Drosophila melanogaster: one gene and its partner. Changing the gene in region 2 together with the main gene of any one other region gives a genetic interaction. Each region holds a gene or a part of one and is shown on either strand. Other genes may lie near its edges.

Region 1 (4,637 bases), 7.3 Mb from region 2:
CTGCCTGGTTCACAAAATATGGCTAGAATGCGCTTGCTCCTCATGTCCATGGCCTCTGCCACTTGTCCAATCTTGCCGCGCAAAGCACCTGCATCCGCCAACGTGAAGATTGTGTCCCCTTCGTTCAAGCTATTGATGATCTTTAGATACATGTCCAGATCCGGGGTAACTTCTTTTTGTAGTTGACGAATTTGTTCGTAGACCTGGACGAGGAGTGGGCGACAAGTGCGACTTTCGTGCATATCCTTTCGGGTGTCCAGCAGCCAAAGGCAGTGTTCGCACAGCCGGATGGCGTTCTCATGCTGATGCAGCTGCTGAAGGGGCTCGCTTCTTGTGGTGGAAAGACTGGCTAGTTGCACTGCGGGATTATAATCAAATAAGTTACATTATTTTCCTCAATTATTGGATCTACAAACTGGCATCTTCCAGGGGCAGGAACTTGGAGCAATCATTGCACATTATGCCTCCGCACAAACGGCAGTGGTGTTGTCTTCGGGCGATGTGGAAACTCTTGGCACAACTGGGACACAACTTGACGGAACTACCATCCAGCCAGGCAACTGTTTGCTGTTCATGCTGACGCCGCTGCACTGAATCCGCTGGCAGATCCTTAAGCAGGCGGTGCAAACGAATGATTAGTTTGTTTGTTTCGCTGGCATATCGCTCCAGGCGAGGATTGCGAATGGACTGAAAGTACTCGAAGTGGGAGCACTCAGCACCAGGCTGCTGCCTGGCCATATAGTTAAATACATTTAGACGGGAGCGGGCATTACTGGGTCCATTGCGATCTCCGTTGCCATTGGGATTCTTGCCAGCCGCTGAAGAGGAGGAACCTGCGGGCGACGATACAGATGCACCTTTTTCATCCTCAAAGGGGTTTAGGATCTTCTTTTTCGCCTTGGTAAAGATATCTTTAAAGGATTTTAGGGCATCCTCCTCTTCCGCATGCTGGCGGGCAAAATGATCCGTGAGCACATCGATGGACTTGAGATCCGCACGGCAAATGGGACATAGGAAGCCCTCTAGTATCTCTCCACTGGCCGAGCTTTGATCTTCGTCGCTGTCGAAAGGATTTCCAGACATTCCGGCGATGAGTAATCGTAGTTAATTCGGTGGGTGTTATTTGTTGTGGTCTCCTCCCCAAAAAAAATTGACCCTAAGGTTTTCCACTTGTTTTAAAACAGTGGCATGACGGGGCTTACGGCACTTGTAGTCCTAAACTCGATTAATACGGTCAGAGTTTCTACAAATCCATTAATTTTATTTAAAAACTAATATTTGCAGAAATCATCAAGATTTATCTACTTCACTCTTCTTCTTCCCAAATTGCAATTCGAAATAATATCCGAGAATTAGGGCTGCAGCAAAAGCAATATTTGGCTATTTTTGCTGTTTATTTGGATTTTTGAAAATTTGTTTATGGTAGTCACGGAGATTTCATACTCTTTCCCAGTTAAAACTAGCTAGGAATATATATGTTATAAGCATATTTTGATTACCAGCTTTTGCCTATCCATTTCTGGATCCGCTGCAGCCCTGGTAAAAGCTTTCCATGGCGAATGGCCAATGCGCGGAAAGAAGCAGAATATTGCCTGCCTGGAAGTTTTCTCGGGTTTAACGCTTTTAATCCGTCGTGGGTGTCAATATCCTGTGTATAAAAATAATTCCTAAGGCAACTGTGCACTTGGCACACATCTTCATATCGAGTTAGCCCAATTTAAAGCTCCAGATCGGCCGCTAATATGTCGGAAAGATCGAAAGGTGACGTGTCCGCTCGCGTAAACAACAACGCAAACCAGACGCGTGTCGTTAAAAATCCGCTTCTGAGCGCCTCCGTGACCGGCCTGAGTTTCGACGACTTCCCCAACAAGCCGCAGCTCCTGCCAGCCGCCCCGCCCGTGGTCCATGCCACGCCTCCAGCGGCGCCCGTCCTCATCGCTGGCATCTTGAATCGCGGTAAGTGGGTCACCGTACGTTCGTGAATCTAACGCGGAGTGGGGGTCACCTGTTGCTCGGCTGCTATAATGATAAGCTGATAAGCCTGGCAAGGCACTTGACCTTCTTACCCTCTTCATAAACTGGGGTTGACTTTATCACGGATCAAGTTAATATAAACTACTTTCAGTGTATAGAGGAATGGGTCAGGTCAGCACTTATTTTGGCTTAAACAAATATGTATACCTACTACTAGCTGAACAAATATATAGATATATTATAATAGTTTTCCTAAATAAGACATTAGTTAAGTCCATTTAATCGTTTGAAATCACCGACATTGTTTATACTACTTTTTTTAAGTTGCACTTCGTTTCAGTAGTTTATGCAGGGACAAACAATTGTATCCTAAATATTTGCATACATTTAGTAAAACGGTGCCATATTGTATATCTGGTACTTCTATGGCATTTTATTAGACTTCGAGACCACATAGGTTCTAACTTGGCACAATAACATAACAACAATCTACTCCATGCTCCTAGTGGAGTGGGATCTATATGTGGGCAGCTCCAGCGTTGTCTTCCTCCGTCTGCAACACCACACAATGCTCCATATGAGGGCTGCAATAAGCAGGATCAGGAGAATGACTCCAAGGCAAATGGCTGCAATGGCGGCCTCGTTCAAATACACATCTCTGACATCGATGGTGAGGCTTCTCTGGTTCCCGGCCGCATCGAAAGCGATGAGTGATACCTTTGGTTCGCAGCAAGAGGCCATGTAGGTTGCCTTCAGGGGCTCTGTGCTACCAGCAGTATAATAGTTTCTGTAGAAAAGACCCTCTGGCGGCGAGGCCTGCAAACGCATCATGCCTGACTGCCAGTCCTGAGCGGTCACATCCACAGTCCAAAAACGTTCACCACAATTCTGGGATTCGGGCGTCAGGTAATCACAGCGGCTGCCAAACTCCCAGGATAGTGTAGGTCCAGTTGAGTCCTGGAAATTATATTTAAACATTTCAATTATGCTTTCATAATCAGGTTATCGGCTGTTCACATACCTGAGCATCTATGCTAGTCACCACTTTAAGATTTACCGCCAGAGTAGATGTTTCGCGACCGTAATTGGTGAAGGTAATCCGGTCTGTGGTGCCCTGAGCTGTGCCAGTGGGCACCAGAACAGTCAGACGCACTGTAGCCGTCTCCTGGGCGCGCAGGCTTAATCTACAAAGGCAGAAGTACGTAAGATATATAATGTGTAAACCAAAGACTTCGCTCTTAAGCGCTCCAACCTGGTAGGATTCAGTTGAACCAAGAAGCGCCGCTCGTCGGTGACTTGAATGGTGGAGTAAACCGTTTCCGTTTTCATGTTGGTGACCTCAAAGAGTAGCGTAGCTGTTTGACCAGCCATCACCAGCAGTTTCGATTCAATGCCCAACTCAATTTTTGTGCCACATCGCTGGAGAAGCATGGCATTTAGGGTGCTTCTCGACTGCCCAGTGCTGGGAGCTAAAAGCGTTTGATTCAGATTAGGAGAACTTTGGATTTCCTGCTCCGAAAAGGTTTCGATTTCGTTCTTCGGGGAGTCCACATCTTCCTCTAGCTTTTCCGTGTCCTTTTCCTTGTCGGGAAACTGAAGTTTGGCTGATTTGGCCTTTGTTTGTCCGGTTTTGTAGTAGCTGTCGATGCGTTTGATGATGTCGCCTGTGAGGGAAATAGAAAACAATTTCTAAATCAATTGCGCACACGTGTTTTTCTTGCCCTATGGAAATGTATCGATGATGGCGTCAACGCTGACGATTCCATCCAAGGTTGAAGCGCGGTTATCAGTAGAGATTCGTATTCATTGGGGCAAACGAAACAGATCACGGGCCCTTATCAGTCCGAAACCCAGTCTCAGAGCATTTAATTAGCTAACGGGGACTCAGTACTGTGTGGCAATCAATACCGCCAGGTTGTTTGTTATTTTGTTACTATAACTCACCCAGAAACACATCCGCTTTTCTTTCGGCGCGAACAAACACATTGTACTTGTCGTGCAGCTCGGGCTGTAACTTCAGTTTGAAAATCGACGCGCGTCGCAGCTTGTTTAGCGGTACGTAGGCATCAAGTTCTTGGTTATTTAACGTTTCCGTGACATTAACTCCGCCGAATTTCGCTAGTTTCTTCAAATTGATCTCTAAAAATTAGAAAAGCACAAAAATAAACAAAAGTCTAACAGCTGTTGACCATTCACAACGCAACGCGGACAGCTGTTACAGGTGTTTGCGCGGCGTTGCCAGACCATAGCATTGCGTACCACTTTTAATTAAAACATCATAGTTGTGCAATAAACATTCAATCTGTAAGCCATCAAACTTGTTTTTTATAGCCAAAATAATTATAATTAATGGACAAACATTAAATAAAGACATTTTGCGGTAATCTTTAGCCATTTGCGGGACCTTGGCAACCCTAACCCCGCAGCTGCGCCGTAGTTGTTGTGAAAGAAAAACACGTCTACAAAAATCCGCGAAAAAAACAATTGTTTTTCCTTGTAAAATTAGCAAATAACCTACGATTTTTGGCCGCTAAAGTGGTGACAAAGACGGATATTAATTGCCAGTCTAGATCAGTGCTGACGACATAGCCAGCCAGTGCAATACATCACCAAAAACTGGTCGCATTCTAAATTTGCCCTTGACAGTGATGTGATTTGCCTAA
Region 2 (3,447 bases):
AGAAGGCGGAGAAGCGGGTAACACCTCTGACAACGCTGAAGATCTTCCCGAGGAGCCCAAGAAGCCTGGACCTGGCTGTGGACCCGATGGACCACCGGGAGTGCTCACGCTGCACCGCCGCAAGGGCCCGAAAAAGAAGCTAACCTGGCAGTCAGAGGAAAAGCTCACCCAGATACGATACTTCGAGGTCGATCGCTCAGAGCGCGTAAATGTGATGAAGCAGACCTTCCTGGAAATGAAGAACATGGAGCGATTCAGCGAGCGGGACGCGCTGACCATTGCTCGGCGTGGATTCGACGATACCATGGAGCCGCAAATGGAGTGGCGGCCACTACTCGAAGTCGATAATGTGCCCGACCACCCGAACGGAAACCTCTCCAAGCAGCGCCAGGTGCAGATGGACAGGGAGGCCACCACTCTAAGAGCCCTGTACTTCTCGCCCGACATGATTCCCGACAGTCCTGCGGAGGCGGAACTGGAACCGCATTTTGCTCATGACATTCCCGTGATACCCATGGATGACCTGACGGGGAATCCGGATGCTGTCAACGACTACAGTGCCTTGGCGTGGCCGGAGCCCAAGAAATACGCGCCTAGCTCGGGAGTCGGAGCAAATATCAGCGGATCGGACATGGGCTTCAATGACAATATGTTGACCGGACTGGGAGCTGGACCGAACCTAATGCAAAATCCATTCGATCCGTTCATGGGAGGCATGCCTGCTCCCACGGGAATGCCACCCGGACCAAACATGATGCCAAATCAAGTGCCCAACGGAACGCCGCAAATCTGGCAGAACCAAATGGGTCCGGTAGGTGGGCCGCCCGGTGTACCGCCCATGATGAACGGACCCGGTGGCCCCGGAATGGATATGAGCAATATGAACATGAACAACATGCCACCGCAAAACTTTATGGGCAATCAGTTTGGAAGTCCAGTGTCTCCATTCGGAAGCGGCCCACCACCTGGATTCAATCAGTACCCGCCCATGATGATGAATGGACCAGGTCCGGGACCGGTAATGGGACCCAATGGTCCAGTGATGGGACCCAACGGCCCCATGATGAACGGCCCACCCAATGGACCCATGATGAACGGGCCGCCCAATGGAATGGGGCCAGGACTGATGATGGGCGGACCTAGGAATAACAACAACAACAACAACAGGAACAAAAACAACGGCGGCGGCATCTGGCGCAGCGGGGGCAACAACTTCCAGGAGAACTCCGGCGGCAACTGGCGCTCAGCAGGATCTGGCCCCAATCGAGGAGGTGGAGGAGGCAATGGCAACACCGGCGTCTGCAAGCAGTTCATGCGAGGACACTGCAACATGGGCAAGAACTGCAAGTATGTGCATCCGCAGAAGAAGCGCTTGTAGGACCTACCCGAATCTTCTGCGGAAGATTCAGCTGCATAGATCTCAGACGCGCAACGGAGGCCAAGATTTCCGAAATCGAGTCCCCACATGAAGACTGTATCCAGGTTAGCCGCCGCAAGTTAATCTAAGTGTATATATGTATTCGGTATATTTTTGTGTAGACGCAGTCTATCCCTAAGTTTTTAGCCTAAGATCTGGGTTCAATTCCCTGCCCCGCTAACTTTATTATTATGCTGATTACCATAAGGTTAAATATTTATAAGTTTAAATTTACACAATTAAATATCAAGTCATATGATGCAAAGCCAATGCAGTTGATTTATTTAGTGAAACGAATTGAATGCACTTTTAGAAACGATACTTTTGAAGTTTTAGTTATTAACATAGTTGAGCCAAACATTACGTTTGCCATTAAACCGAACAAGATGTTTGCTGCCGGGTGCTGAAATCGATGTCTGCAGAGGGTATGCCATCATCATGCGGTGCTTGCACTTAACCTGAAACTTTTGTGGCTTCCGTTTCCAGGCCCGCGACCCAGAATTGACTTTCTACTCGTATAGTTTCCACAGTCCAGTCTTCGTTTCAGTTACGTGTATTTCATCAGCGCGTTAGGTCCGTAAAATCATGAAGTCATTGCTCAATCGGATAATCCTGTGCAGCGCCTTTCTGGCCGTGGCCAGTGGTCTGAGCTTCACGGTCACGTCTCGGATCTACATGGATGTGAAGCACAACAAGAAGCCGGTGGGCAGGATCACGTTTGGACTGTTCGGGAAGCTGGCTCCCAAGACGGTGGCCAACTTCCGGCACATTTGCTTGCGCGGCATCAACGGGACCAGCTACGTGGGCTCGCGATTCCATCGCGTGGTGGACCGCTTTCTCGTCCAAGGCGGCGACATTGTGAACGGCGACGGAACTGGCTCCATTAGCATCTATGGGGACTACTTTCCGGACGAGGATAAGGCTCTGGCGGTGGAGCACAACAGACCCGGTTACTTGGGCATGGCCAATCGGGGCCCGGACACCAATGGCTGCCAGTTTTATGTGACCACCGTGGGCGCCAAGTGGCTGGACGGAAAGCACACCGTTTTCGGCAAGGTGCTGGAGGGAATGGACACCATCTATGCCATTGAGGATGTGAGTATTCAAGCAAACCGGAACCACAATCGTGGCTTAAACGCATAGCCACCACACAGAAATGTAAGAAACTTTTTCTGACACATTTTTCGTTCCAGGTAAAAACCGATACGGATGACTTCCCCGTGGAACCCGTGGTGATCTCCAACTGCGGCGAGATACCCACGGAGCAGTTCGAGTTCTACCCGGACGACTTCAACATCCTCGGATGGATCAAGGCGGCTGGTCTGCCCGTGACCAGCTCCTTCTGCGTTCTGCTCATTTTCCACTACTTCTTCCGCCAGCTCAACATGTACTGCTGAGGACTTTGGAGTATAAGCTTTATTACTGCACATAAGACTAAGAAGCCCCCATACACTCCGAATGGAATGAAACCCACAATAAATGCATACAAATCTTAAGGACTTCACTAGGATACGAGCACGGCCTTCAGTAGGATGGGAAGAGTCGGTCCCATGTGCAACTGTGGGATACGTGTTAGCATTTAAGGATTAGCTCAGCTTATGTCAGTGTAACTTACATCGATGAAGAGGTAGTCCTCCACGTGCTGATCCTTCTTGTAGAACCGCGACTCCGGCTTAAAGAGCCCAACCATGGTCACGTCCACTCCGGAATAGTTGGACAAGCAGCCTGAGAAGATCTTGGCCAGCGTGAAGTGGTGCTTGTGGTCTGGATAAACGGAACGGTTCAGGCTGTTGTAGTATTCCTCGATTAGGCGTCGGTCCTTGGGCGCCAGATCCCGCTGGTGCTGGACCATAGTGTCCAGGTCAAAGGAGTGGGCGTGCTTCACCTTGGGATCCTGCTCCGCGTCCATCAGTCGCTCCATCATATTCCTGTACTTTTTCTTAAAATACTCCAGTGCCGTGCACTTCTCAGCCCAGAAGGAGAACTTTTTGTCGGAGCTTAGGGATATTGATATTATTTGAGTTTCTTAT

Evidence for each region. A genetic interaction does not mean that the proteins touch.
Region 1: of ninaA (region 2) and PAPLA1, changing one enhances a phenotype caused by changing the other (phenotypic enhancement), as found in Drosophila melanogaster (one study listed by BioGRID).

The regions. Positions count from the first base shown.
Region 1 is NT_033779.5:8,156,538-8,161,174, reverse strand, and holds the start of PAPLA1 (phosphatidic acid phospholipase A1), read left to right. Parts: upstream 1-1,599; 5' UTR 1,600-1,742; coding exon 1,743-1,956; intron 1,957-2,388; exon of another isoform or gene 2,389-2,463; coding exon of another isoform or gene 2,464-2,931; intron 2,932-2,995; coding exon of another isoform or gene 2,996-3,158; intron 3,159-3,226; coding exon of another isoform or gene 3,227-3,638; intron 3,639-3,918; coding exon of another isoform or gene 3,919-4,113; intron 4,114-4,424; exon of another isoform or gene 4,425-4,637. Other genes in the region: Rbsn-5 (Rabenosyn-5), read right to left, coding at 1-358, 417-1,083; CG43394 (uncharacterized protein), read right to left, coding at 2,464-2,931, 2,996-3,158, 3,227-3,638, 3,919-4,113.
Region 2 is NT_033779.5:875,360-878,806, forward strand, and holds ninaA (neither inactivation nor afterpotential A), read left to right. Parts: upstream 1-1,942; 5' UTR 1,943-2,002; coding exon 2,003-2,512; exon of another isoform or gene 2,513-2,610; coding exon 2,611-2,814; 3' UTR 2,815-2,911; downstream 2,912-3,447. Other genes in the region: PNUTS (phosphatase 1 nuclear targeting subunit), read left to right, coding at 1-1,378; CG15824 (uncharacterized protein), read right to left, coding at 2,922-2,975, 3,033-3,414.